Linked DNA regions of Oryza sativa Japonica Group. The protein of the gene in region 1 binds, or shares a complex with, the protein of each later gene. Links are inferred from orthologs where the notes say so. Each region holds a gene or a part of one and is shown in the gene's direction. Other genes may lie near its edges.

Region 1 (6,003 bases):
CGGTGATGCCCTCGGTTCGATGGTTTATTTGTTCAACCGGTTGAACCACTGGTTTAAAGCGGTTCAATATAGGTTAAATATATAATTTATTCCTTCTAAACACAAGTTGTTTAATAGCCTGGTGGTTCGTTGGTTCACTTGTATGCATATGGTCTTGGGTTTGTACCAAGTGTCCCCCGGACGCACGTGACCGCCATGCCTGTGCAATCGGGCGGTTCATCTCCGGTTTTCTTCCCGTTTTTTATACAAAACAGGGCGGTCCAACCGGTTTATATCGGGCCAATTGCATAGCCAGTCTTTTAACTGGACCAGACCTGAGGCTCTGGTTCCGGTTTTTTCCGGTCCAATTGCCGGTCCGGTCCAATTATGATAACTATGTCCCTGCCTGACTGTTCCTAAAGATAAACCCACGCATTCCAAATCGTAGACCTCAAAACCCTTCTTGACGCTAGCCTTAGAAAGCTTCATCGAGAAGATCAATGACCTCTGAGTACGTGGTCTGACCGGGTACAAAATTGTCCAAGATTATGTACGTCGTCGGATTCTGCCCCCGCAAGTTCATCTCCACCCCTCCTATGAGTACATGGGGGCTCAAGATGTAAAGCGGCTATCGTGTCGAGATATACAATTCGAAGTCTTCTAACTTGAAAAAACTTGAATTGCTTCTCGACATTAACCTTGTAACCTCTCTTATGTTCCTCTCTTTGATGGGATCATGAGGAGCGCGTAGCCCAAGTGGTAACCGACCAACCGCCATTCGCAGCCAACATTCCCTAGCCGATATGTGATCTCCCACGCACTGATCAAAATGCCATTTTGAATGCAAGTGTTGGGACTACTCTCCTTGTCAATCATATAGTTGCCCGTAGAAATAGTAATCCCAATCCTTACAGGCCTGGTCTTTGAGGCAATTCGTGCAGCATCGCAAGCGTATGTTATGTACTCTTTCTCCAAATTTTTTTCAACTGGGTTTTTCTAGAGTTTTGACAAGGAAACCTCCGGCCCATGAAGGCCTAGCCCAATTAGTAATTGCCCCACTCACTAATATGGAAAGGAACTTATGGTTATGCCTATAAATAGAGGGAGGAGTCTCACTATTGTACACTTGAGACAATGAATGAATGAGAAAGCATACCACAAACCCAGCACTTAATTGCCTACCACTTGTGGACTTATTGTCTGCCACGATAAAAGAACAACAACATACCTTGGTGTCTCCTGTTGAATGTATTATACTACAAACCTAGCTATTACCCATGTTGGCTTGTGGTTAGTACAATTAGTGCTTCACAATAGTAGCTCGTGAACCAGTCCTTAATTGTCATGAGCACGACCATCAAAACCATATGCTCACAACCTACCATGAATATGGTTTTAGTTGTTAAGATTAATTAACTAATAATGATTAATCATTGTGAGCTATTATTAAATGGCCATAATTAATTATAGATGAAGCATTAATTATCCCAATAGTGTACTAATGTTTCTAAACATGGCTTAAGCCTCCTAATAACTTTAGCTAAAACCACATGATGTTGTAGCTAATCAAATGGCCCGATTCGACCTCTTCTCCTTGCTCTCTACCACCGCCATCTCTTCTTACACATGGATGGCATGGCAAGCGTCGGGACACCCAGATCTAAGCAGAGAAGTAGGTCCAACAACATCTGTCCTCTGGATCGGTTGGTGCTAAGGTGGTGGATATCTGAGCGTACCCAACACTTACGACGTCAAATCTGATAGTCTTATTCATGGGATTTAATAATTTCTCTCTTCTTCCTTCTTTTTTTTCCTCCATCTGGAAGCTTTCATTTTTTTAGACGGCTGCAATTCTCCTCCGCTATATTCGCTAGATAACATGGCTCAATTCCTTCTACCCGTCGGGAGCACGGAAGCAAATACTCGAATTTTACCACGCGTTTCTCTCCCCGATAAAATGGCTCTGAATTCGTACGACGAGTCTGCAAAATATCCAATACTACCCAATGTGCATCGCGTAGTAAACGCGCTGCCGTCAATACCTGGAATTCTCCGCAAAACGGCCAAAATCCCGGTCATTTTCCGCGCGTTTGCTTGCAAACCTCTCCTAACTACCAGGCCGCACAACAAACGAACCGACCGGGCCTGCCCCTTCCTCCATAGTAGTTCCATCATTGTCTCGAAGCCCGAGTTCGACACGTGCTTACGCTAGTCCGGCAGACCGGGTGGAGGCGGATCTTGGCCTTGGCTCGCTGGCTCACGGTGGACGATGTCCACGTGCTGGCCCCCGCGCAGCGTTGGGCTCGCCTCCTCCACTCCTCTCGTCCACCCGAGGATGACGTGCACGCATGGGCAAGCGAGACCACGAGGTCGCCGGAGGAACCGTCTCGCTGCGCGGTGGTTCCCACCTCCGCCCCTCCCCATCGCATCTCGCGCCCTATAAGCGAGCTCAGCTGCCCGCTCCCTCTCCGTTCTGAGCTCGCAGTTCTACTAGTTTAGTTTTTGCGAAGTGTTCTTCTCCAAATCACCTGAGAAATAGGTGTCGATTTTCAGGTATGATTCACCGATTTCTCACTAGGAGAGAGTAATCTGTAATTAGGTGTTTGCTATGTCTTTTTTTCTTCCTGGGGACTCCCTGGCATGTGTGTACTACTCGTGCGGGGAACAGTTCCCGGGTTTCGCATGAATTGCTGGATTTGGAATTGGTTTGCTGGCTGGTCGAAGCTCATTTTCGCTGTGTAGATTAGTTTTATTCTCGAGAACTTAACCCATCTGTTTGATACAGTTAAAATTTTGGTTTCGGTTCTCCCGATCAAATTAATCTGAAGGCTGATAGTTCTTGGTTTCAGTTTTTCGAGTTCGCTCTTTTAAACGTATCTTTCGGTTTATCTGTTGCAGAACTAGCGTGCTAGCCACTAGTGTGGCCATGGAAGTGGTTTCTTCCAGCCACTCCTGCTTGGCATTTAACCGAACACCTAGCAGTGCTTGGAGGTTTCCGGGGAATGGTCTTGGTCCAGGGCATGCAAAGCTCACTCGGCCAAGAAGTGCAATTCTTTGTGTGCGGTCAGGGACAGCTTCGAATCCTGCTGATTCTGGGAAAGTTCATGCGAGCCATGGGTTCTATGTAAGTGATGTCGATGCAGCTCTCCAAGGGATCCCGAAGAAAGTCGGTGAGATCGAGAAGATGATCATTCCGAGCTTGCCAGAAGGACCTGAAAGCTCTCTAATTAGTACTGGTTTCTGGGAATGGAAGCCGAAGCTGAGTGTATATTATGAAAAGTCTGGCATAGACAATAGCAAGGCACCGTCTGTGCTCTTTCTACCAGGTTTTGGAGTGGGAACGTTCCATTTTGAGAAGCAATTGAAGGATCTTGGCCGTGATTACAAAGTATGGACAATGGATTTTCTAGGGCAGGGCATGTCGTTGCCATGTGAAGATCCTGCTCCTAAGAGCACATCAGGAGAGCTAGATGAGGACACATATTGGGGTTTTGGACAAGAATTACAACCATGGGCGGAGGAGTTGGTGTATTCGATAGATTTGTGGCGTGACCAAGTTCAGCATTTTATTGAAGAGGTACTTCTTTCAACTATTTTCTGTGTAGTTTTATGTTTACTTTGCTAAAAAAATATCATCTTTAGTTCACAAATCCTAGTATGCTTTGCACTCTTTGAAGGGCCTGCAATAATAGCTATTTATTAGTTATTGAAGATTCTTGAATCTCACAAACTTCAGCGTTTCATATTCGGTTAATAGAATATAAGAACCGTTATGTTGCCCAAAGCAGGTGCCCTGTTTTTTGGCACACACACTTGTAACACATTCTTTTATTCCAGTATCTAGAATAGAGAGCAAAGGAGCCCTGTTCCCAATCTCATATAGCAGGTTTGACATTTGTGTTATTATGTGTAATGCCAAAGTTCTTAAGTTTACTTATCCATAACAGTCCTACCATGAGATTCATATCATATGTTTCTTATGCTAATTTTGTAACCTTCTTTCAGGTTATTGGTGAACCAGTATATATTGTGGGGAACTCTCTGGGAGGTTTTGTTTCTCTATATCTTGCTGCATCCTGTCCACACCTTGTAAAGGGTGTCACATTACTTAATGCAACCCCATTTTGGGGATTCCTTCCCAACCCTGCTACATCTCCTCGCTTGTCGAAGATTTTTCCATGGGCTGGGACATTTCCACTTCCATCGTTTGTGAGGAAACTTACTGAAACAGTGTATGTGCTACCCTTTAGGTTTTGGGAAACACATGTGCATATTGATATTGAATAATCTTAAATTTATCCCTTCTGCTAATTATTGGTGTACTATTTTTTTTCATTATAATGAATGCATGGAATGCAAAAGTTTTATGATACTTGTAGCAAGGCATAGCATCTGTAGATTGCTACCTTTTGTTTTGACAGAAATTGATTGCATACTTCACCAGTGAAGAAACGATTTAGACTATGTTTAGTTTGCATATGGTACTATAAGTATAGCTAATAATTGTTTTTTCAAAAAAAAAACGTGTTTTTTTATAAAATCACACCTAGATATAAAGTATATTTCTGTATGTCATTTTCTGCCATTATTTTTCCTTTTACATTGTCATTCCTCTCTCATGTTAGGATGGTAGGCTGTGCAATGTATTGGTGTTTTAACAGATTAAACAAGCTGTTATTCAATAGCAATTGTGTGGTCCCTGCATCATTTAGAACTATGCAAGTTATCCATGTGGTGATATAAATTTGGTGGATCTCATTTAATATCTTTTTGGTGCAGGTGGCAGAAAATAAGTGATCCAAGAAGTATACAGGGCATACTCAAGCAAGTATATGCTGACCACTCAACGAATGTGGACATGGTGTTCTCGCGTATTATAGAGACAACACAACATCCAGCAGCTGCTGCATCATTTGCATCCATTATGTGTGCTCCAAAGGGACAAATATCCTTCGAAGAAGCTCTATCTAGGTAAACTGGATATACTATTTGATGAATTGCCATGTTGCTTACAAAATACGATTTTGTATTTTTACATTTCATAATCTGCAGGTGCCAAAGGCAGGGTATTCCCATATCTCTTATGTATGGGAGAGAAGATCCTTGGGTTAGACCTATTTGGGGTATTAAAGTGAAACAGCAGGTGCCAGAATCACCGTATTACGAAATCAGTCCTGCTGGTCACTGCCCTCATGATGAGGTTCCTGAGGTAAAACATTCATTGTGTTTGGAAATAAAGCTCGTCATATTTAGTTTGTACCAGATAGTTGATAGTTCATTTTGTAGCCGTGCATTCTGTTTTGGGTGGATACTGTGGCTGGTGGGCTGTGTGTGTTTAAGAAAGGTCATGTTCTCTGAATATCATCCATGTTGATTACACATAAGAAACTATGGAACAAAAACTGGAGGAAATTTGTATCAGTATCTAGTTTGTTTTGACCAACATTTGAAATCTCTATTTAAATCTAGAAATTTCGGTATACAACCAATGGCCATTATATGGGACTGCAGCCTTAGCTATGAGTTTCTACAAAGATAGGCAGCTGTATCTTAGAAGCTAAATGCTATTAGTGGAATCAGATCTGGATCAGCACAACAGGTTGTCAGATGCTATCTTTAGGTGGGGTACCAGGGAAGCCCAAGAATCACAACTGTTTGCGAATTCCTCATGATAGGATTTTCTGCTAGGGCAATGAATATGGATTGTACCATTTGTAAGCTTAACATTTTTTCTGCAGTTTTTGTTTAATTCTGTAGCATGCATTTGATACAAAGACACCTTGGGGCACTAATTTTTTTATGGTTGAGTGTGTTTAAGTTCCCTAGTTTTCTCCTTTGAAGTTACAAGACATTATATGGTTGAGGTTGTAGGTTCCAGGAAAAAGCCTTGCCTGGTGGATCACTGGGCGCCTTCAGGCATCGTAACCCCTTGGGGCGGTGCGAGGGTACCTCTCTTCCTCGGCAAGTTTTCTCTAGGTGAAAACCACATCTTTGTTAGAAGGTGGGCGATGGTGCCGTCCTTGA
Region 2 (4,589 bases), on another chromosome or scaffold:
ACTCAGTTATGTAGTGTTGAATCTTTTTGGGTAAAATCTAGAACCATAAGAAGGCAGGATTTTCTCCTTATCTTTGTGTTCCTTTGGCACAGATCAACAATGCTGGATCAAATGCATATAGTTACAAACCGTTGGTCGAGACCTCCGACGAGGCTCTCATGTAATTTTCATGCTGTCTTTTTATTTATGGCTTGACCAAATACATTCAATTGTGCTTTCAAGCTATATTCAAACTCCACTCTTTCTTTGATTTAATAGGGAAGTGATCACAACTAACACTCTTGGATTAATGATATGTTGTCGTGAGGTATTTCTTTCAACTCATACTAGCTTTCTGAATTTCATTACAACAACTGTGAAGATTCATTTTCCAAATATTCATCTTCTTGCCATCTTGCCATCTTAGGCAATAAATATGATGAGAAACCAACCTCGAGGTGGCCACATATTTAACATCGATGGTGCTGGTTCTGATGGAAGGCCAACCCCAAGGTATGCATTTCCATTTGTTCTGTTCTGTAGTAAAATGTAGACACTCAATGTGCAATTCAATCATTATATCATTATGTTTGAATTCTCATACAGTATGAAGCTATGAAATTTCACATCATGTATTATGTCCTTTTAGTTTATTGCTAATTGCTAATAGGAGAGTACCTATGATTCCACATAACTGTGCCTCATAAGTTTCTGTGCTGAATTTGGCTTCCATATAGACATATACTGTACTGTTATCAGTAGTTTCAACCAAATGAAAAAATTACACCACTGCGGTGGCCCCCGCGCGCGCGCGTTGGGGGGTTGGGGGTATCAAGCGATATTAAATATAATTATATTTTGGTAACTAGTGCTTTTGTGGTTACACCAGGATACTACTTAATAACTTAATATCCTTTCAGAAATAGACACTGATTATTATTGATAATGACTAGGTTTGCTGCATATGGTGCAACGAAGAGAAGTGTGGTGCACCTTACAAAATCTCTGCAGGTAAAGGTTATGTGAGGATATAACCTCATATCATTTTGTTTTGATCAGAACATATCCAGTGTAGCATTTATTCATAGTCCACTATTTGTGGCATTGTAACTTCATATAAATTGTTAACTGCATTGTGACATCACAACTATGATGCAATATTGATTACCACCATTTCTCAGTATCCAGAACAATAAAGCTGTGATTATCAAATAGTTACTCAATACTCATTAATAATTTGAAAAAAAAAACATAAAGCTGTAATCATCCATATAATCCTTGGACTTGAGTCTTGAGGTTCAGACCCTTCCCTTCTTAAATGGAACGATTTTTCTGGAGAACTCGCAATGTAGGTTTTCATTTCCTCTTTTTTTTGTCCTTCTGGAATTCTTGTTTATTAGAATTTGCAGGAAGAAAATAATTTGATTCTAATTGCAGGCCGAGTTGCAGATGAATGAAGTGAACAATGTTATGGTGCACAATTTGTCGGTACATAACTCCAACCTTTTTCCTGGTGTCTTACTACTTTAGACTTAACTAGATGATTAAACACTGGAGTAGTTTAGCAAATTAGTTCCTGTAAGCTTTGAATCATGCATCTCTGCAAGTTAATTGGTTGCATTCTTCTTGTATAATCGATTAATAATGATGCAAGAATAATTATACCGAGTACATATTAATCTGTGCAGCCTGGCATGGTTACAACAGATCTTCTTATGTCTGGTGCCACAACAAAGCAGGTGAGTGATCCACATGGTCTCCTTTTAACAATTGTTGACAAGATAGTTCATCGTTATTAAATTCTGGATTTATACTGATGGCAGGCCAAATTTTTCATCAATATATTAGCTGAACCTGCTAATGTGGTAAGAGCTCCATCTTGATTTCTTTTTTCCCCAGCATATCGTTGTTTCTTGTTCTAGTTTCCATATGGCTGAAGACTGAAGTAGCAAACATGATTTAGCTACTGCAAGCCAAATAGCTTGAAATATCTAACCAAATAGCTTGAACATGATCTCTGGACCTGGTTATATGTTCATGAAAATCATGAGACAATTCTTTATCGATGGGTTAAGTTAAACCTGACGTATTTACTTGCATTATCAATGTTCAAACATGCTAATGAATACCTCGTTGATCATGCATACCTTTACATCTGTCATGAAACACATGCATACCCTTAGTATTTATTAATTTCAGTGCAAAACAATTATTCGCACAGCTTCAGTTGTTTTGATCAGAACAAATGTGGCCATCTAATATTTTCATAGGACACATAAAAAAACTAGTTGTTTATAGTTCAATACGTTAGCTCGATTGAACTTAAAAAGTTGAAAAGCTTTACATGACATGGGCAGTGCTTTATACCACCAATGACATCCAGGTTCATGTAACACGGGATATATCTATGAGTGATCCAATTTACCTGCCTTACATGTTATTGATGGTAATGTACACTCGTTGAGTCTTCTAGTTAGCTGTAAGGTCCAAAATATATTTTTTTATAACTTTATTATGAATTATGATAGGTTGCGGATTATCTCGTTCCAAACATCAGAGCAATACCTACTAACCAGTCCATGAAACCAACCTACATCCGTTTTCTCACAGGCTTGAAAGCCTACTCCAGAATATTTTCAGTAAGATCTCCACTGTATTTTGTTATTATTTGACATCCTCAACTACTGTCAATTCCACTGTGTTGAATAACCATTGTCCCTGATTTCACTTGCAGAGGATTGCTTTTGGTGCTCGTAGGAACAAGTATGTTGCTGAGGATTAGTGTCCGTTTTGCTGCCATCTTACAACCCTGAAGAGAACTAGGGACATTTTCTTGTTCTCTCTTGTAATTACATTCTTTGTAAAATAGCATGTATTACCGATGGCATTTCAAGAAGGTGATGTACTCCTATGTATAATATCAGCAATTTGATTATACACTAATTCAGTTGCTGCTCATGTGATGCACTTCTTATCATCCTTGTGATCTCTACTGTTCTACAAAATTTCCAACCATACCTAGAATACAAGTTTGACAAGAGTTGCATTTATGTATGTTTCATCTTCCATGTAAAGAGCACCTCATGATACATCTGTGCAAATACATGTATGATTGAACTAATTTTCGATAGTACTTCCAGTTCCAGATCTTTTGGAGTTGTTCCCTACTTTTCCAGTTTCAATTTGAAGGATGGACAACGTTTTGCAGTGTCAAAATTTAGGCACCTAGTATGGATGATTGATTTTCTGTAATTCTATATTTTCTTGATTGGAAAAATGTGCAGATGACATCACAATGACAAGACAAGGTCATGCTGCCATGCTGCTGCTAGGTGTTGGCAGGATAGGACTTTGTTCACATCATAAACATCCAGCTTGCCTGATAAGTTAACCTCAACATTCATTTTGTACCTAATTTATATTTGCAGTTCTGTGCTTCTTTCTTTATCACGTTCATGATTTTGCATGATCTATGATGCCCTTCCATTCATGTATTGGGCAGAGGCCGCATGTGCTGCGAAAAGAGCACCCTGTTATACTCCATGCTTAATATGAGATAATCATTCATTTTGTTATCTTACCATTTTGAAATCTTGTACTTCTCTGCCTACCTTTCCTTCCATGTACACCAACTGTGATGACCGATGTGCTAGACAAAATGTAGAATGTCCCTTCCATAGGCAGTGTAGTGATAGGAAGAACTATATAAAAGGGGTGATATCCTTTCAAGGTTGGAATGCCATCTCACTCTTCTCCCTAAAAATAGACGGCACAGTCTCAATTCCTTTTTCTTCATCATATACATTGGTACTAGTATTTGTATTAAGTTCTGGTTTCTCTTATTCTGATCTAATGCATTCTTGATTTCTAAATAGGATTTTAAAACATCGGTACTCATGTTTGATCTCTCACATTTCTATTTGGAAATGTTTTCCCTTACCATAAGGGCACATCCTCACATTTACTCCATACTGACAATTTAATGAATCTGTCTTGTTTGATTACACAAATACACAATCCAAACAGGCTTTATGTCTTTTATATTTACTGAAGTGCTCTGAGTATGATTTACAGAATAATGTCCAACAGCCAGCCAGCACAAGAGGATGATTGCATGTCGAGCATTCTGGTTTCTCGCCTTATCCGGGCTATGCAGCCAACAAGGAGTTACCTTCGATGGTCTGATGATCTCCATAAGATGTTTGTGGAGGCTGTGGCCTACCATGGAGGTCCCTATGGTAAAACTGTTTGTTATTCACTGCTTGATCTCAAAATACTCGTTGATGGAACTGATGCCATGTTATTGTTAAAAAAAACTGATGCCGTGTTATACATTTGTTGCAATCTTCAGAAGCTAAACCAACTGCAGTGAAGGAGACAATGCAAGCTATGGGTGTCACAAGCCTTACGACCCACAACATCAAGAGTCACCTCCAGGTACCCTCCTGCCATGTTGCAGAGCTTTTTATCAGATATTTTGATAATTCTTTCTCTCTATTATCATTCTCGTTCTGCTGCACAAGATCTTGATGCATCTTGATTGTTCGTGCTATTGATTTCTTTTGTTTTTCAGAAGTACAGGGAGAGTTTCAGTTCAGGTGTTGGGTCTC
Region 3 (5,985 bases), on another chromosome or scaffold:
AGTAAAGATGGTTTCTCCAGTAGTGCTTCCACTTCAAATTACTTTTGTACTAATTATTTCGTGGGTGAGTTCTGGCATTGACACTGAAGGCACGTGCTGTACTATTACTTTCTTTGCCACATTTGTGACTAACTGGGTTATGGAAAAACTTGTGATTAACTGGATTGTGGTATAGTTAAGCAACATTGAGATAGAGTAATAAATAAAATACTCCCTCCATTTTTATCTACCTTTCACTTTTGACCATCACACATAACAACACAATCACCTTTTTCTAGGTAAAATGACCAAAATAACCCTAAATTAAGTGGTATACATAATTTATAAGTTTCTAAATACATATGCCACATAAGAGCATCACCAACTTAGTATCAAAATATAATCCCCTAAACCTTTTGTTTGGGAATCTCTAATCAGATTTAAGAAAAAAAATATGCTCTCCTCCAAGATAGCCTATTTTAACTTCTCAAAACAACAAAAACAATGGCCCAACTACAAAACTTCCAAACAAAATTAAATCAGCATCCTTTTTTCTATTCTGATGGGACGAGCCATCCTCTCGGTGCAGGCAAACTCGCTCGGTGATGGGATTGGGAGCTAGACCCTCTTCAAACTTGCGGAGAGCTAGATTTCTGCATATAGGCATAAGGATTTTTCGGGAGTGTTTGTATAGTGCTACTGTTGGATGCTGATTTTTTTTACCTAAACACCCGAAATTTAAGATTGGGAGTAGTATAGATAATTGTTTGGCATGTTCTAATATCTTCTTATTATTAGGCCCCACTAGAGACAAAACGCTACCTTGATAAATGATTACTTGGATCCATATCACTACGAATATGTAATTTTAGATAAAAATTAGTACTATTCACAATATCGGCTATGACGTGTCATTCGGATTTAGGGAAATCGGAACCGTGTCACTCTATCGCTATATCCATCAAAACTTTTCGTTAGCATCAATTGCACGTGGGACCTAGCTGTCAATTCCAGGTTTTTCTCCTCCCTTCACTCTCCTCTCTTTCCCCTACCCCCTATCTCTCTCTCTCTCCGGCGCTCATCGTCACCGCCACCGTCGTCGACCACCTCCGCGGCGGGAAAGTTCGGGAGCTGCCACCGCCATCTTCTTTGACTCCATCCACGGCAGGAGAGCTTGGGAACCACCGCCGTTGTCAATCTTCTCCCATCCGTGGCGGGAGGGCTCAGGAGATGCCAACGCTGTCGTCTTCAACCCCATCCACGGTGGGAGGGCTTGGGAGCCACTGTCGTCATCGACCTTATCCCATCCGCAGTGGGAGGGCTCGGTCGCCGCCGTCGATGTCCCTTGTAGCAGTCGTAGAAGATGGAGGAAGAGATAGGGAATAAAGAAGAGGGAGGATGGAGAAAGATGGAACTGATATGTGGGTCTAACGCCTAGGGGTCTGACGGGAAATGCAACGGTGATAGTGTAGTTCTAACTCCTCAAATTTCAGTGGCACGTAACCAATATCATGAATAGTAGTGGCATTTATCCGAAATGGCATATTTATAGTTGGCGTGGATCCTATTAACCTTTTAAACGTTTAGTGATAAGTATTCGCAGAAACTAAAAAGTGATCAAAATAAATGAAAAGGGAGTTGTGAACTCTCTAGTTCTCATATATAAATAAAAAACGAATTCATTCAGTGATTTAGAGACAATGACAAATCATTTGTTGGTTGCGGATCATCTCACTCAACCACACTTCAGTGATTGAACATGGGTCGGGGCCCCTATTTGACAAGGGAACTGAACCCATTTCATTGACCTTCGAACCGCTCTTGCCCTCCCCTTTCACTTCCATAGTGGTCTTCTTTGGCCGGCCCACTCATTTCACTCTCAAGCTCTCTGAGAAGATTCAAGATGTTTCGAATTCTCCTTCAGTAATATGGCCCCCACAATAATTAGAGGGGGGAAAAAGGAAAATGAAGAGCTAGTGGACTGAGGAAGAAAGCTAGTGTGCAGCATCTGGCCTTTTGTGAGCTTTGGGCCTTGGCCCATGGAGCGATAAGCAGCAACAGCAGTGAGTGATCAGCAGTAGCAGATGGCCTCAAGTGTATTAAGGTTTAGGTGGTGTGTTTAATCTCCTGAAGATAAATATAAAGATGAAGATTAAGTGTTTCACGCAAAACGATGTAGTAATAATATATGATTAATTAAGTTTTAATTATTACAAACTTGAAAAATGGATTAATATGATATTTTAGAACAACTTTCATATAAAAAGTTTTCCCACGAAACGTATCGTTTAGCAGTTTGAAAAACGTGTCACGAGTATCCAAAAGTTTATCCAACTTTTATTGGAGAAAAGAATAGGGCATAAGTATCACCTCGGTTCCCAAGCTTATGCGCTACATGGTGAGCTGCCCAGTCATTAGCATGGTACTTCCTCCGTTTTATATTATAAGATTTTCTAACATTACCCACATTCATATATATGTTAATAAATCTAGATATATATGTGTCTAGATTCATTAACATTTATATGAATATAGGGAATGCTAGAAAGTCTTATAACCTGAAACGGAGGAAGTATAAAAGAAAAAAACCAACTCATGTGGTGTTTGCGAAGGAGGGACTAAACTAGTCATTTTTGTGATTCCCAAATACCACCTCAATTGGCATTATCTCACATTTCAGTAATGCAGTGTCCGTAAAAAAAACAAGGCATTTGCAAATTGCAATAGATAATGTCTTGGAATCTGATGGATTTGTAACAGCAGCTTTCAGATCTCTCTTTCAATCATCTCCTATGTATATACTGCACTAGTTACAAAAGTAAAAGAGGGATAGTTCTACACGTTCACGGAATCCTTCTCACTCCCTCTCGCTCACATTCATCTCTCGCTCCGTTCGTCCACGCGTCGAACACCTCGCCGTGATCCAATGCTCCAACTCCGCTCGCCGCCGCCGGCGACCAGCTCGCCGTCCTCCGCCGTCTCCTTCCCGACCCTCGCTCCTCGCCTCCTCCCCCTCCGCCGCCGCCGCCGCGGCGCGGGTTCCCAGCTCGGGGGCAAAACGTCGAGCGCCGTGCGCGCGTCGTCGGCGGCGGCGCCGGGCGCGACGGAGCCGGAGGTGATGGTGGAGGTGGCGCACCGGGAGGTGGCGCGGGCGCTCGCGTCCCTGGCGGAGGCGCGGCTGGGCGCGCGGCTGCTCCCCTCCGCCGTGCCGCCCGACGTCGCCGAGTTCCGCAGCGGCGGCGGCGCCGGGAACGCCGTGGGCTCGCTCGACGTGCGCCGCGGCGCGCCGGGATCGACGGTAATGGCACCCCTCCTCTCACTTTTGCTCGTCAGATCGTACAGATTTACCTGTTCTGTCGATTGGAGAACATCAGAATCAGTCATATGAATTAGTGAAATGGTAGTGGTAAACTGGTAATGTCTAGAGCACCATCAGAATCAGTCATATGAATTAAGTAGTGAATCATATGAATTAACTAATTAAGTAGTGAAATGGTAGTGGTAAACTGGTAAAAACAGGCTGGCACAAACAGAGCAGAATAGATCAATGGCATGTCAAAAGACTTGGACAATTTACTGAAACTGTTTTACACTGAAAAATTGCTGCCGAACTATTTGTGATTTGCCCTATCAAGGTGAACTTGCAAACTTTTAGAAGCCAAGATCCATAATCCAACTCTTCGGAGCAAATTATGACTTTTCATTATATTGGCAATGCTCAAATTAGTTCATTTGCTTCCAATATCGAAATGGAAACAATTGGTCTGTTCTAGAGTTTGTACCTCATTCGTGATTCTTCCTATCACTCACAGATTTTGTTTCCTCTCCAAAAACAAAAAAACAAAATCACTCCAACTGAACGGACACAATTGGAGTGGCCAAAATGATCAACAGCATTCAAATTATGAAACTAATCTCACCACTTGAACACCTGAATTATGCTCCCTAGTGCTCAGTAGCTTAGCGTGGTAGAATTTCTTGAGTTCTGCAAGGAATGACAAATGGAGTTAAATTATTAATTTTTCTTGTCTACAGATTGATTTCATGCTCCAGTCCTCACTACACTGCAAAGTCCCAAATGGCGCAATCGACATTACATCTCTTCTCATCTTTCTGAACGCCTCGACAGATGCTCCGCATTTCCTCATGGAATTTATACAAGGTAGCCCAACTTCGATCGTGGTGCTTCTGGACCTTCTCCCACGGAAAGACCTTGCGCTCCATCCCGAATACATAGAGAGATACTATGAGAATACTCAGGTGGACAAACAGCGTGAGAAGGTCGAAGAATTGCCGCAGGCCCGTCCATACCGATCGCGATCCCTCTTCGTGCGCAGCACCTTCTCACTGACAGCAATACTGATGAGCATCGACTGTGGGCAAGGAGGAGAGGGTACCTTGGAAGAGATAGTGCGTGGTCAACTAGCAACAGCTGCTAGGGCACTTCTTCAAATTTGGCTTGATAGTTGTGCTGATCATACTTCAGAGATGGAAGAAGGCGAGAGAGAAAACATGATAAAGAGGGACCAAATTGTAAGGTCCAAGTCAATCGAGGTCGACCTGACTTCAAATTTGCCGAGGATGTTTGGTCCCGATGTCGCAGACCGAGTCATAGCTGAAATCCAGAAGGCCTTTGGGGTACAAGAGGCCTAGCTTTAGAACTGTGACCAGGAATTCATCTGTACATCATTCGAAAGTAATGTTAGTAGTCTTTTGTCCCTTTTGCTTGAACAATCAGATATATTGTGTGATTATAAATTTATAATTGCAAATACCATCAGATGTCATAATTTTGTCTATACAATTATACAAACCAATGTAGTGTTGGTTTTCATGCCGATTTTTTACTCTAGCCGTTTCAACCCAAATCTCGGCCTCCTCTAGAGATACATCGATGCCCTCATTAAAAGAAAGTGCCCAAAAAGATAATATAATTTATAAGTACCAGTAAACTGATTTCACGGGTGGTTTCCTCAATTTCTTAAAGAGAAAGGACAGTCAATTATTTTATTTTACAAATGTATTACTAGTTAATGGATAACTTTACATACCGTGTTTACATATTCTCATCCCATTAAAAATTTGCGATGAATCTAACTGCCTAATTTCATAGATCAACGCACCAGTTTATGACAAAATTGAAATGCTATCAATCAGAAATTCACTAACTACCAGCCATACTAATCCTGGCTCCCTACAGCTACTCGCAGCTCTAGAAGCACACATGGCACAAAACATAAACTCCAAGTTTTTTGGAGAGTTGTTTTTGCCTTCTCTTTTCGGTTGAAATACACAATTATTGTATCAAGAATGGAGAGTTCGAACGGCAAAGCCAAAAGGAAAAAATGTAAACAGAAAACAGCATCTTTTTTTTGACAACAGGCATATATTACCCGGCTTTAGAAAAAGCCCAAACGAAACAGAGTTCTTACAGAAAAACGAAACAAAAGGAAACAAAAAACTGGGGATTCCAGTTTTCCAAACCAGCTCAACAAAAGCTTGGACATCCACTAAACCTAGCCCCCTTCCAGACATTTTAACACCCACAACAAAAGACCAAATATTTTCAGAGCCCATTCCCATGAACTATCCTATATCATCAGGAAGATTATCAGTCGGCTTCAGCACTTCCAACGTCAGCATTATCTTTGCTTGAAAGACATCCAAGCTAGTACACTCCTTTTCTTTTAGCAGCACCTTCCACCTTTGCATCAAAGACAAAGACCTGTACACGACCTGCAAAGGTGATTTGATCAGTTTATTGTTAAAAACCCAATTATTTCTGGTAATCCACAAACCCCAGGTCATTCCTGCAAAAACCACCATTCCCCCCTGAAACCCCATTTTCTTGGTTACAACCTTGATACAATCCCAGAAAGAGATAGGTACATTATGCAAATTTAGAACTATAGCAATTACACTCCAAGCAAATTTAGCAATGGGACAAGTAAATAAAACATGTGTAGTGCTTTCTTCCCCTAGACAAAGCTTGCTCTGTACATGGAA
Region 4 (6,092 bases), on another chromosome or scaffold:
TGGTGTATCGTTTTAAGAAAAAGCTAAATCTTATACTTATAAGTACATATCTTACACATTAAACTGCATACACATAATATAATTTTCGAATTATACAATGCACTTTTCACATTTTATAGGAGAAATATAGATAAATGATTTATTATCTATTTAATTATGAGAAAAATATTAGTCCAAACTGACATATATGTAAAAAATAAAAAAAACAATACGAAAGAATTACGAAAATACCTACTGATAGTCATCGTATATGATGTAGTGAGAAAATGAGTCCACAATCGAATGCTTTATTATTGAGCAAAATTGATGTATTATTTTTATCTTTTTTTACCTGAATCTATTTATCCGTATCATCATGTATCAACATATCATGAGATTATTAGTAATAGCTAACTACATCGGCCCAACCATACTTAGCTATCATGAGACTATCCAGTAATGGACAACTCTTCTTTAACTGTGCTAGAGAAAAAAAAAGTAAATTACAATTTATTCTTAAAAGTTTTCATCTTATGTCATACTTTAACCATTCTTTTCGCTTACATAGTGGCTAACTTTACATTTCAAATTGGGCCAGACTATTCTATCCATCTCTAAGTTTGGTGACTCAGCAACCACTATGTACACTAACTCTCTTTCTCTCTATTTTCTTTTTCCCTCCGATAGTTAGGGAACCACTAGCTCCAGCAAGAAGGAGCACGGATCTAGCGTCTCCGCTCTTCGTTGGGTCGGCTCGTGCCTCCTGAGTTAGTAAGCTCGACACCCTGACCTCAATGGCAACTGTGATAATAGTGTGCATGACGATGGGGGAGGAGAAAATACATGTCGGTAACTGGAGGGTGCGACTGTGCATGCAAAGACGAAGAGGAGGAACGATAGTGGCTTATGGAGAAAGAGCGGTTGGTGGCGATGCGTGGAATGATAATTAGGCCCCGTTTGGTAGGGCTCCAAACTCCAACTCCTATTTTTACTCTAAACTCCAACTCCAGTGAGAGCTAGCTCTGATTGGAGTTAGAGACTTGTTGAAAAGTGTTTGGCTAGCTTTCAGCTATAAATCTGAAAAAAATAAAAAAAATAATAATAAAAAAAGAAAACCCAGTCGCTGGCCATCCCCAGGCGCGCCGCCGACCGCTGGCCACGCACCGCCCATGCGCCGTCCCGGGCGCACCGCCCGTCGTTGTCCCGGCCGCCGCCGATGCTGCCGTCGCCCGCCGCCGCCGATGTAGCCGTCGCTCGCCGTCGCCCCGCTGACGTTGTCTTTGCTACTGTCGCCCGCTGCCGCTGTCGCCCGTGCCGCAGACGCTGTCGTCACCCGCCACTCGTCGTCACCGCTGCCGCCCACGCTGTCGTCGCCCGCCACTCGCCGTCGACGCTCGCCCGCTGCCGCTGGCTCCTGCCAACGCTGCCGACGCAGTCGCCGCCACCCGCCGATGCAGATCGGGAGGGGGATGGGAGGATGAGAGAGAATGGGGGAGAGGAGGTGTGGAGGGGTAGTTGGGTGGCATTTTTGTGAAAATAGGCTAAAAATTAAAGGGTAGTGGGTCTTTTGGGGTGAAGTGGAGCTGTAGAGTAGCAAAAACTCAGCTCCACCCCTAGTACAAATTTGTGGAGTAGCTCTGTTAACTCTGCTCTGAAAAACGGAGGATTTGGACCGTTTGGCACAGCTCCAGCTCCAGATAAGTTGAAGTTGGGAGGTAGAGCTGTGCCAAACGGGGCCTTAGTAATTGCTGGTGGTACGAAGAGTTTGTTCTCGACATAATCCCTAATCGAGTTGAGTAATTTATTTTTTTTTCATAGTATTGCTAATACGTGGCCCACTCGTCATCATAAGGAAAAATGTTGAGATAAAGGTAGCGTAAAAGAAAGAATCTCCCGTCTCGTCTCCTCCGCTCGTTGCGCCAAGACGAGTCGCGGCTGAACAGGGGAGGGGAGGTGACGAGCAGAGCAGAGCAGGGGAGGGGAGGGGATCCTGGTGAGCCTCTTTCTGATTCATCTCTCTCTCCCACCGGGACTGGAATTTGCTTGCGTTCGTTCGTTAACCCTAGCTTCTCTTCTAGATCTGGAAGAAGCTCTCTTCTCCTCGTTAATTTCAGAGCCTTAGCCTCTCTTAATACAAGTAGTAACAGTTTGTTTGTTTGTTCCCCCAAAATTCCCAAGTTGGATCCGCCCCTGGCTCTAGCGTTAGCACGGCTGGTACCTAGGGTACCTGGAGCTGATATGTTGAACCACTGGTTGATGATATGGTTTATGGACCGTATAACTATATAAGAACGTATGATGGTGCTTGTAAGGATGAGATTTCCCATATATATTATCCACCAAAATAGATTTTCTTGGTTTAGGCAATGCACTGTGCATCTGTTGCATGTCACTTGAAATAGGGCGACAAGTACCCCGTATGGGACATCGTAGATTTGTAGATGAATGCCAGCCATCGATTCAGGTTAGATGCAAACTTGTTTGATGGCTTAGGTGAGTTTCGGGCAGCATCTACGCGACTTATACTAGAGAATAAATAGGGAGTTAACACAAGATCTTCCATACAGCACTTGGGAAGATTGAATAGCTACCTAGCCAGTTAAATGAGCGTTTTTCTTTTTTTCATCCCTTCTATATAGCAACAAGAAGAAGAAAGTAGGTTACTTCATAGCATCATATATATACAGACAGTGGTGGTTTTAGATGACTATGGTGCTGTTAAGATGCGAGGGTGGTATGTCGGTGGAGTGGGTGCAGCGGTAGAGGAGAGGACTGAGGGTGGGAAAGATGGTGTGGGTGGGGAGAATCTGAGCCTGAGGAAGAGGAATGAGACAGATATTCACTTGCATTGGTAGAAGTTCCTTTCTCCTATTTTCATCCAAAAAAAAAAATCCTTTGCCCTACAGGATTAGAAATAATTATATGGTAGCGTGCATCATTGTAATTTTAGAAAGTCACACTTGAAAAATGTTTAGTACTTTTATGCAGGTTGTTAATTCATTCTGTAGATTAATTCATTCGGTAGATTATCATATTTCCACGTGAATTTCACATGCAGGCTGACTATTCAATATCCATGGCGCGGTGCATCTCCTTCCTGTCTACCTCCTCGTCCTTGCCATGTGCCACAAAACCGCCCTGCTGCTCAGTGTCCTCTGTCTTACCCTCGTCTCCGTCCTCTCATCAATGCCGAGGTAGGAAAACGAGTTGCGGGTCAATTAGGGCGCTGCGGGAGGATTGGAGGGAGAGATCCAAGGCCATCCCTCCTGGTGGCGTCTACCCAGCCAAGGACCACTGCAGCCAATGTGGGCTTTGTGACACCTACTACATTGCGCATGTCAAGAATGCCTGCGCATTCCTAGGAGATGGCATGTCCCGTGTCGAGGTATCATGCTAGTCTTTCCTTCCTTCATGCATGCGTTATTTCTTTCAAGCTAGCTAGCTTACCAAATCACATTTAAGTAGGATTTGGAGCCATTGGTCCATGGGAGGGGCAGGAAGCAAGACATGGATGAGATGTACTTCGGAGTGTATGAGCAACTCCTATATGCCAGGAAGATGAAACCTGTTGAAGGTTTGCTCCTTATCCACCATTTTTTTCTAGGCCACAAGATTGTGGTTACATATATGCTAATTAATGGCCAAGTAATTTGTGCAGGAGCCCAATGGACAGGAATAGTGACAACGATTGCGGTTGAGATGCTAAAGGCAAATATGGTTGATGCTGTGGTTTGTGTACAAAGGCACCTAAACAACAATCAAATATTACATAATTGCTTTCCGTTGCAAAAGGATTTTTTTCATGGTCTTGAGAAAACTGTTGTTTGTCTCCTCTGCAGTGACCCAGATGACAGGCTTGCTCCAATGCCTGTTTTAGCCAGGTAGGTACTAAGACAATGGTTGCTTGCTACTTCAGATTTTTTTTTTTTTCATATGGCTTGTGCTTACAACTTCTTACTTAAAGTACATTTGCATTTTACACTTATATGGTTTTATGGTCCATGAGGAGGTAACATGAGATACCACATTTTGTAGTATAAATTTTGGCACTTCCCAATATCTGTGATAGAAGATGAGGTACCTCTCGGTATCTCCTCAAGGACCATAGAATCACTCAAAAGTAAAAACCTTGCTTCCAGTCTACTGATTAACTACTTGTGCTGCTCATGCTTGCTAGAATTGAAGCAAAATTTGATTGATCAACTATTATCTCGTAGGACGCCAGATGAAGTTATTGCAGCCAAAGGTGTGAAGCCAACATTATCACCTAATCTCAATACGCTTGCGTTGGTTGAGGTAAATCTATCTCTTGTGCACACTATGCATCCTTTTTTTGGGTCACTAGCTCCTGTGTCTTGTCCCCTGCCCTTCAAAACCTATACAGGCATATGGGTGATTACGGCAGATATCTTTTGCCTTGGACATGAACTTGGAGTCATTTTTTCCAGAGCATTTTTACCTCATCCCCTTTCTAGGCAATTCGAATTTAGTTTGGTTTCAAAGGAATCAGAACTAATGTTGTTCTATTCAACCTACAAGATCAAATTTTACTTAATGTCATTCCAGTAGTGACTCTAAAGGCAAAACAAAGTCCAATTTAGGCTATTAGATTCTACAATCAAGACCATAATGATATGATGACAATATGACATGATAGTTGGTCCATACTCTATCTTCCTGACTAACTCTGTCAAAACCTCAGTTTCATGCTATCCTTTGACAGGCAGCTGGTGTGAAGCGTCTTCTCTTCTGTGGTGTGGGTTGTCAAGTGCAAGGTGTTTACCTTGCCCAAACATTCTTCTATTTCTAGTGGTGACAATGTGTTGTATCTCATAATTATCCAATGTGGCAACAGCTTTGAGATCAGTTGAGAAGTATCTTGGTTTGGAAAAGCTTTATGTGCTCGGGACAAACTGTGGTAACTACTAACTGATAACTGAATTAGTTGATCTTGAAATTTGTAATTACTGTGTTGCACGGAGGATATATTTGAACGTTGGCTTACAGTAAATATTCACAGTGGACAATGGTACCCGTGAAGGACTTGACAAGTTTTTGAAGGCTGCAAGCAGTGAACCAGAGACTGTACTGCATTATGAATTTATGCAGGACTACAAGGTAAAACTTTGGAATAATTAGTACTCTATTTTCTCTTATTTTTGACATACTGTTTAGAAGTCAACAGTTCAACAGGCAGTTTTAGGACATAGAGAAAAACTTATTGAATCAACAATATAACCATGTTGTTGCTTCCAAAATTTTGATTCATGACTGTTGTATAACTCAGCGTATTTGCAGGTTCACTTAAAGCACTTGGATGGACATATTGAAGAGGCAAAGCTTATTTTTCTTTTTTCTTTTCTTGTGCATCACTGATTCTTTTAAAATAATCATTTACATCACTGATTCTTCTAAAATAATCATTTACATCACTGATTCTTCTAAAATAATCATTTACTACCTTAAATCAGGTTCCCTATTTTTGCCTGCCAGCAAAGGACCTTGTTGATGTTATTGCCCCATCATGCTACAGGTAATATTTGCCCGTCATATAATTGTGTTGCCAGATTTTCTCCAGAATTTCCAGTCATCATTCACAACGAGCTTATGTTCTTACTACTACCATCCTGCAGCTGCTTTGACTACACAAATGGCTTGGCTGTAAGGTTTCCATCGTTTTAAAGTTGAATATTTGTACTCTTGCTATAGCAGATATTCATATTTTGGAAAGGAACCATCTGGTATCTGGCTGTATTATTCCTTCTGCTCATTGTCACTTCCTAGTACTTAGTTGTGCTCGTAGGGTTGGTGTTTATTTTCGTTGGTCTGATCAAATCTGAATGGCCATTATATGTCCCTTCTATACAGTTGCCCTTCCATTCTCGGTTTGCTCCCAGAGATAATTAATATACGTTTGATAAAGAAGTGCAGGATTTAGTGGTGGGCTATATGGGTGTACCAAAGTACCCTGGAGTTTCCATGACACAGCACCCTCAATACATTACAGTCAGGTAGAGTGATGGGGATGCTGGAGCATGGCAATTGATTGTAGCCAGTTTCTGTTGAGCAGCGAATTGATTTTTTTTTCGATCATAATGGTATTATGGCATTCC
Region 5 (5,841 bases), on another chromosome or scaffold:
ACAGTGTCCTAGAGGAACACTGCAAAGCTGGACCTCGCAATGTTGTCATAACTGGAAGGTAACCCATTTTGCATTCTTCCTTTCACATGCCATCTGAATCTTTTGCTAGGAAGCATGCATACTGTGAGTACAGGTCAAAGGTAATAATCAAAACTAATGAATTTATTCCTAGATAGGAAATACTATTTCACCTTCTATTATTCTCTATTTTCTTATTTGATGAGTGGAGTATAACCATAACAATCACCAAGTTTATACGGGTTGGTGCATAGAGGAGATTATGAGGTGCAGTCATATGAACAAATCATTAAAGTAACCTCATAAACATGTTAATATAAACATGACTTCTCATTGCATCAATTGTGAGCTGATTTCTTATTAGTATCCATGTTCTGCAATCAACATTGAAGTTATAGTTTGATTTTGGCAGCACAAGAGGATTAGGGAAAGCACTTGCTCGGGAGTTCCTTCTTTCTGGAGATCGTGTTGTAATTGCTTCACGCAGGTGGTACTCATAGACATGTAGCTCAATGTGTGTTGTTGTTGCATATCCATGATATTCTTTTTATGAAATGCAATGCGTTGTCCTAGTTTTAAATATCCTATTTTTTGAAGGCAGCCCTGAATCAGTCCTTCAGACCATCAACGAGCTTGAAGAGAACATACAGGAGGGCTTGTCAGTTGCGAAAAAGAAACAGAGAGAAATTTTGCTACATGCCAAGGTTGTTGGTACATCATGTGATGTTTGTAAACCAGAAGATGTGAAAAAGTTGGTGAACTTTGCCAAGGATGAGCTTGGATCAATTGATATTTGGGTAAATAATTTACTTTTACATATCTATCCCCATCATTTATTCTGCATTATTTCACGGTAGGGTACTCAGTTGGATACTTGGATTGAGTGCACAAGTTTTTGTACTTATAACCTTTTTATTTTGTTCTGTACTGTGGCATCGCAGAATGTACTTAACATGTGCTATTCTTCTTATTCTTATGTATAGATAAATAACGCTGGCACAAACAAAGGTTTTAGGCCACTGGTAAACTTTTCAGATGAAGATATTTCTCAGGTACGTTAATTATCTTCGGAAAATCAGAGTCTTTTCCATTCTAATAGAGTTCATAGAACTATATTCGTCATGCAACCTGACTTAGTTATTTCATCTTATTTTTCTTTCTGCTTAGCCTAAACAACATTATTGTGTCCTTTTCTGTTTGCAGATTGTCTCAACAAACCTAGTTGGCTCTTTACTGTGCACCAGAGAAGCCATGAATGTCATGCAACACCAACAAAAGGGAGGTCACGTATTTAACATGGATGGAGCAGGTTCTGGAGGATCAAGTACACCATTAACAGCTGTGTAAGTACCTAATGATTTCAAATTTTTAATGCTCCACTGTTCGTGTAGCTCTTATACTGGACAGGGATATTGTCTTGTGGTTTCTTCATTGGCTAAAAACGAGTATAATTGTATTGATGTTGTTACTTGTGCAGTGAAACTAAAACTGATACTATTTTGCAAACTTGCAGTTATGGTTCAACTAAGTGTGGCCTTAGACAGTTTCAAGCATCACTTCTGAAGGAAAGCAGAAGATCAAAAGTTGGTGTACACACTGCTTCTCCTGGAATGGTCCTTACGGACCTCCTTTTGAGGTAACCTCTGAAGTTATTTAGATGCAATTATTGATGATTTGCTTGTTTAGTTCATTCTGAACTTCAATATATTTATTGCTTGGTGCACATGTTGTCCAAACTCCAAACCACACTTTGTGTGATGATAGTAAAACAAGATAAGACTTCAAGTGCATAAGAAGTTTTCAGTAGGATCTTTATGGAACCACACATATTGGTTAATCAGAATTTCACGCTATCTTCATTTTGAATTTATTTTAGTTAATCAACAATCAGAATGTCTCCTTTGTTGAATGGGGAAGAGTCAAAATTTTGAGATACCTCGCTGCCCAAATCTTCTTTGTTTCAATCTCTTCTTTCTAGGATTTGATTTGTGGCAACTATTTCTGTAGAATCAGCTTCACATTAATTATTAAGTTGCTTTTGCTACTACACTTCTAGCTCTGGCTTTTCCTATCTGCTATAATCCCGATGACACGGTAAACTGGGTGCGTGGCGGTTAATCAGAACCTGAAAGAATTAATGTTCCATTCTTGTGCAAATACTCTGCCTTGTAAATCCAGTTCAAAGTTGTGATGTTGCACATACTTTATACTTGTAAGGCTTCATAGTTTCTGTCAATATATAAATAACTTGTGAGATAACTTCCAGATATAATTATTACAAATGACTAATGCACTGGAAAGTTCTAACATATTAATATTTTTTATTGGTAATACTATATACGGAGAATAATATGTTTTTTAACTTCAATTGATGGTGCATGCCACTTCTTCCATATTTATCTGGTCAGCTCTTCTGTTGCCACATGCCCAACTATGCAGACTGCTTTAGTTAACTTATAATCCTTCTATCTTTTGCAGCGGTTCTTCTCTGAGAAATAAACAGATGTTCAATTTAATATGTGAGCTTCCAGAAACAGTTGCAAGGACATTGGTTCCGAGGATGCGAGTTGTGAAAGGAAGTGGAAAGGCGATAAACTACTTGACACCACCAAGGATCTTGCTTGCCTTGGTTACTGCATGGGTTCGCCGAGGCCGATGGTTTGATGAAGAGGTATGTTTCTTCTCTATGCAGCTAGTACTTTTCAGCTTTACCTTTTATTTCAGCAATGCCAGTATATGAAATATGCTGAATTCCTGCAGAAGCCATGCGTGCAAACATGATTGTTGTTTTCATTATTATGCATCTTGCATGCACTTTTCATGATATTGAACCTCAAGACTTTTGAGCTATTATGCTTCTGAAATAGTGAAATATACATTTCTAGAGAAAGAGTACCAAGCTCTTCTACCGTTGCACCAAATGTATATGAAACTCATTGTTGAATATAAAGAACAATGGACATAGACTATTCAAATTATGCCTGTGGTGATTTTCTTGTAAATTATGCTAAATAAGCAGTATTCGTTCTAAGACTGGATCAACCAGGCGAGTCAGATCATAATGAAGCTTGAGACCAGTGTCCAGTTCTGTCAGGTCTCTACATAAGTAAGAGCCATAAATAGGGTCTGTCTTGATGGTTCAGTTTCCAGGTTCATTATGACCAGCTCAGTCCATCACCTTTACTGCTAGTTGGCCAGAGCTCTTCTGGAAGGCCTTAGGCTGGTCCTCCCCTCAATGGCGGCTTCAAACACCTGGTTCCACCATGGCTTAGCTCGGTCCAACAGTCTCAGTGCTATTGTTTGTACTGCATGTTAAATATGACATAGTTAATTCTCACATGTATTGCTGGATCTCACCTAGTCCACATGAAATCCAGCAACAGATTTAACTGGAGAGAATGATAGGGGTTTTAAAAAGCAACTGCACCCGTCAAATGATTGCACTCTAGTAATATTTTGGGGCTGAAATGGGCACAAGTATACATATTGACGTTTTTTTTGGTATCTCACTGGTTTATTGGCTGTGATTTTGGGAAAGAAAATCACCTGCAAATTTTGGTACCGTCGAAGCTTCTCACCATTAGATTGACAATTATTAATGGAAAAACTGAATGAACACATGTATTATTTTCGCAAGATATTTAGGAAACATGACATTTGAGAAAAAAAAATGCTGAGAAGTGGGTAATAATTTAATTATAACGTTTGTGTTCCTTCAGAATCTTTCACAATATAACTGAAGAAAAGTGCTGTATACATCAGTGTCTTTTGTGATGGACAATGCTCCAATCATCCTATGTGCAAGGTTGAAAATCAAACAGATGAAGTAAAAGAATATTATATTCTTACAAATGAGAGATCAGCATACCAAGCGACTTTATGCATACTTCACAGTTCATAATACTTTCAGTCTGATGATTAATTCATGTGAATGTGTGACTGATCATAAGCACATTGCAGGGAAGAGCAGTATATGCAGCAGAGGCTGATAGAATCCGTAATTGGGCTGAAAGTCGAGCACGCTTCTCTTTCACAGATGCCATGGAGATGTACACAGAAAACACATGGGTTTCTGTGTTCTCGCTCTCTGTCGTCTGCGCATTCATAATTCTTTCCAGCTCAGGTGGACCTCTTCCAGGCACATGATCCCAGGAGTTGCCAAACTAGATGGCTACACACACCATTTTTCTTCAGTACGGGGATTCTATTATGTACTGATATATGACACACGAAACTTATGAAGGGGGGAAATTGAACCCAGAAAGCTTACTGCGTACATACGCCCAACGGTGAGAAGCATCAGCTGCCACTCACCATTTAAGGTCAAGCTAACCATGTGCTCAGTAAAAATGGGTAAATAGCATTTGTTGTGTGGGCATTCCACTGTTTGTAAGCTGACTTGTAAAAACGTGTATCTGAGCTAAACTGAGCACGAACAGATTCGATGGACAATGTTATCTGCTGTACATGCATGTAGTAATGTAGTTTTGATGACTGTAATTCTCTGGTCGTCGCTTCCAGTTGCACGGTTGCACCGTATGTTGCAACCACCAATAGAACTGAAAGTAAGTGAGAGTAATCAAGCCAGCATCTGCTATGTATATATATGACTCATCAGTCTGTTATATATCACAAGGAAAGCTTCTTCAAAGCTAAAAGCAAAGCTATCAGTAAGACAGTAATCCTGTGTTTTTGTCCATTTGAATTCTTGATCACAACAGGGGAGATTCAGAAGTTGCATTAAGGTATACTACTACTATCATTTATGCAGTTTGTTGCACCTGCAGCCTTGCAGAGTGATGATTCTTCTTGATGGGGAAGCAGGACGTTCACTTCACCTCGTACAAACAATGTACGGATTTCTGTGTGCGAGCCATTGTGAGCAAGGGGCTTTCTTTTCTTCCAAAAGTAAAATACAGGCTAGTGCTTTTTTCATGAAAAATATCTGATGGTGAGTGGAGAGTGCACACGCTGATGAGCAGCCGAGCCGGAGCATGCGTTGGCAACTTTTCTGAACTACAAGCTGGAGACGACGTGAGGCTTCTTTCCGAGAGTTGATAGCAGCGTGCACTTCCGAAGTTGGGTGTCGATTTCTCCCTTTTTTTCTGCTGAGCAATGGCACCTTCCATTAGTTGGAGGGTGGAAGCTTCCTTCTTGAGTCCGAGGCCCCAATGTCACCAATCCTGTCTCTTCTGCATTGTTCGTTGGGAGTATAAGACAATTTAGGGGCGGAGCTAAAACGAAATAGAGAGATGTACCATTCACTTGCTTTACTCTACTTTAAATCAAGTTTAAGCTAATATGAGTATTTGAGTTTGGATTAAGGAGGTACATATATAGTAAAAATAGAAAAACTATAGCTAAAAAAATTTTCTTGGCCAGGTTTCTGGGCACCCCTCTCTCCTACCTAGCTCTGCCCCTAAGTGCATTGCCCGTTCTTCTCTACTAGTCAAGTTTTAGGTTGAACTTTTTTTTTAGGGGATAGTTTTAGGTTGAACTGATCTATCCATATATGCCCTTTAATTTTCCATCAGCTTAAGCACTGGGGTTAAAATAAAATATGCATGCAAACTTTGCCTTACTAACACGCATTTACTTGCAATTGCTTAGCTGATTGAAATCTCACTAAATCTGCTGCTACTTTGATTGGATTAACCAACTACAGACAAGTTGACTGCCCTGGCCGGGCAGTGAACATGGCTGGTACAGTAGTACTCCTCTTGGACCTCTGATTGCAGCTTGCTACCAGCAGCAGCCACGGCGGCGTTTGTTTTGCATGTCAATGTTTAGAGGGTGTTTGGTTGCGAGCCACACTGCTGTTTA

What was found.
Region 2: pheophytinase, chloroplastic (region 1) and chlorophyll(ide) b reductase NOL, chloroplastic share a complex: the UniProt entries of both Arabidopsis thaliana proteins name them as parts of the SGR1-CCE-LHCII complex. The link is inferred for Oryza sativa Japonica Group from reciprocal best matches to the Arabidopsis thaliana genes PPH and NOL.
Region 3: pheophytinase, chloroplastic (region 1) and red chlorophyll catabolite reductase 1, chloroplastic share a complex: the UniProt entries of both Arabidopsis thaliana proteins name them as parts of the SGR1-CCE-LHCII complex. The link is inferred for Oryza sativa Japonica Group from reciprocal best matches to the Arabidopsis thaliana genes PPH and ACD2.
Region 4: pheophytinase, chloroplastic (region 1) and 7-hydroxymethyl chlorophyll a reductase, chloroplastic-like share a complex: the UniProt entries of both Arabidopsis thaliana proteins name them as parts of the SGR1-CCE-LHCII complex. The link is inferred for Oryza sativa Japonica Group from reciprocal best matches to the Arabidopsis thaliana genes PPH and HCAR.
Region 5: pheophytinase, chloroplastic (region 1) and probable chlorophyll(ide) b reductase NYC1, chloroplastic share a complex: the UniProt entries of both Arabidopsis thaliana proteins name them as parts of the SGR1-CCE-LHCII complex. The link is inferred for Oryza sativa Japonica Group from reciprocal best matches to the Arabidopsis thaliana genes PPH and NYC1.

What each region holds. Positions count from the first base shown.
Region 1 is NC_089040.1:14,709,780-14,715,782, forward strand, and holds the start of pheophytinase, chloroplastic, read left to right. Parts: upstream 1-2,319; 5' UTR 2,320-2,532; intron 2,533-2,877; 5' UTR 2,878-2,905; coding exon 2,906-3,556; intron 3,557-3,984; coding exon 3,985-4,211; intron 4,212-4,758; coding exon 4,759-4,950; intron 4,951-5,031; coding exon 5,032-5,188; intron 5,189-5,850; coding exon of another isoform or gene 5,851-5,904; exon of another isoform or gene 5,905-6,003. UniProt on the Arabidopsis thaliana protein: Alpha/beta hydrolase dephytylating specifically the Mg-free chlorophyll pigment (pheophytin), yielding pheophorbide. No activity on chlorophyll. Belongs to the chlorophyll catabolic enzymes (CCEs).
Region 2 is NC_089037.1:26,385,266-26,389,854, reverse strand, and holds the end of chlorophyll(ide) b reductase NOL, chloroplastic, read left to right. Parts: intron 1-92; coding exon 93-160; intron 161-258; coding exon 259-307; intron 308-406; coding exon 407-492; intron 493-932; coding exon 933-990; intron 991-1,416; coding exon 1,417-1,467; intron 1,468-1,667; coding exon 1,668-1,718; intron 1,719-1,802; coding exon 1,803-1,844; intron 1,845-2,362; coding exon of another isoform or gene 2,363-2,425; intron 2,426-2,507; coding exon 2,508-2,618; intron 2,619-2,713; coding exon 2,714-2,761; 3' UTR 2,762-3,123; downstream 3,124-4,589. Other genes in the region: myb family transcription factor PHL12-like, read left to right, coding at 4,043-4,217, 4,331-4,416, 4,553-4,589. UniProt on the Arabidopsis thaliana protein: Required for chlorophyll b degradation. Chlorophyll b, chlorophyllide b, pheophorbide b and pheophytin b can be used as substrates. Belongs to the chlorophyll catabolic enzymes (CCEs).
Region 3 is NC_089044.1:13,536,594-13,542,578, reverse strand, and holds red chlorophyll catabolite reductase 1, chloroplastic, read left to right. Parts: upstream 1-2,805; 5' UTR 2,806-2,905; coding exon 2,906-3,277; intron 3,278-4,014; coding exon 4,015-4,632; 3' UTR 4,633-4,777; downstream 4,778-5,985. UniProt on the Arabidopsis thaliana protein: Catalyzes the key reaction of chlorophyll catabolism, porphyrin macrocycle cleavage of pheophorbide a (pheide a) to a primary fluorescent catabolite (pFCC).
Region 4 is NC_089038.1:14,943,447-14,949,538, forward strand, and holds the start of 7-hydroxymethyl chlorophyll a reductase, chloroplastic-like, read left to right. Parts: upstream 1-1,874; 5' UTR 1,875-1,972; intron 1,973-3,037; 5' UTR 3,038-3,055; coding exon 3,056-3,364; intron 3,365-3,444; coding exon 3,445-3,553; intron 3,554-3,637; coding exon 3,638-3,722; intron 3,723-3,818; coding exon 3,819-3,860; intron 3,861-4,196; coding exon 4,197-4,275; intron 4,276-4,702; coding exon 4,703-4,754; intron 4,755-4,834; coding exon 4,835-4,897; intron 4,898-4,999; coding exon 5,000-5,097; intron 5,098-5,277; coding exon 5,278-5,313; intron 5,314-5,450; coding exon 5,451-5,512; intron 5,513-5,612; coding exon 5,613-5,640; intron 5,641-5,910; coding exon 5,911-5,990; intron 5,991-6,092. UniProt on the Arabidopsis thaliana protein: Probable iron-sulfur flavoprotein that converts 7-hydroxymethyl chlorophyll a to chlorophyll a using ferredoxin as a reducing equivalent. Catalyzes the reduction of a hydroxymethyl group to a methyl group. Belongs to the chlorophyll catabolic enzymes (CCEs).
Region 5 is NC_089035.1:7,036,465-7,042,305, forward strand, and holds the end of probable chlorophyll(ide) b reductase NYC1, chloroplastic, read left to right. Parts: coding exon 1-58; intron 59-430; coding exon 431-505; intron 506-619; coding exon 620-815; intron 816-1,001; coding exon 1,002-1,070; intron 1,071-1,221; coding exon 1,222-1,361; intron 1,362-1,531; coding exon 1,532-1,654; intron 1,655-2,496; coding exon 2,497-2,689; intron 2,690-3,978; coding exon 3,979-4,164; 3' UTR 4,165-4,717; downstream 4,718-5,841. UniProt on the Arabidopsis thaliana protein: Involved in chlorophyll b degradation. Belongs to the chlorophyll catabolic enzymes (CCEs).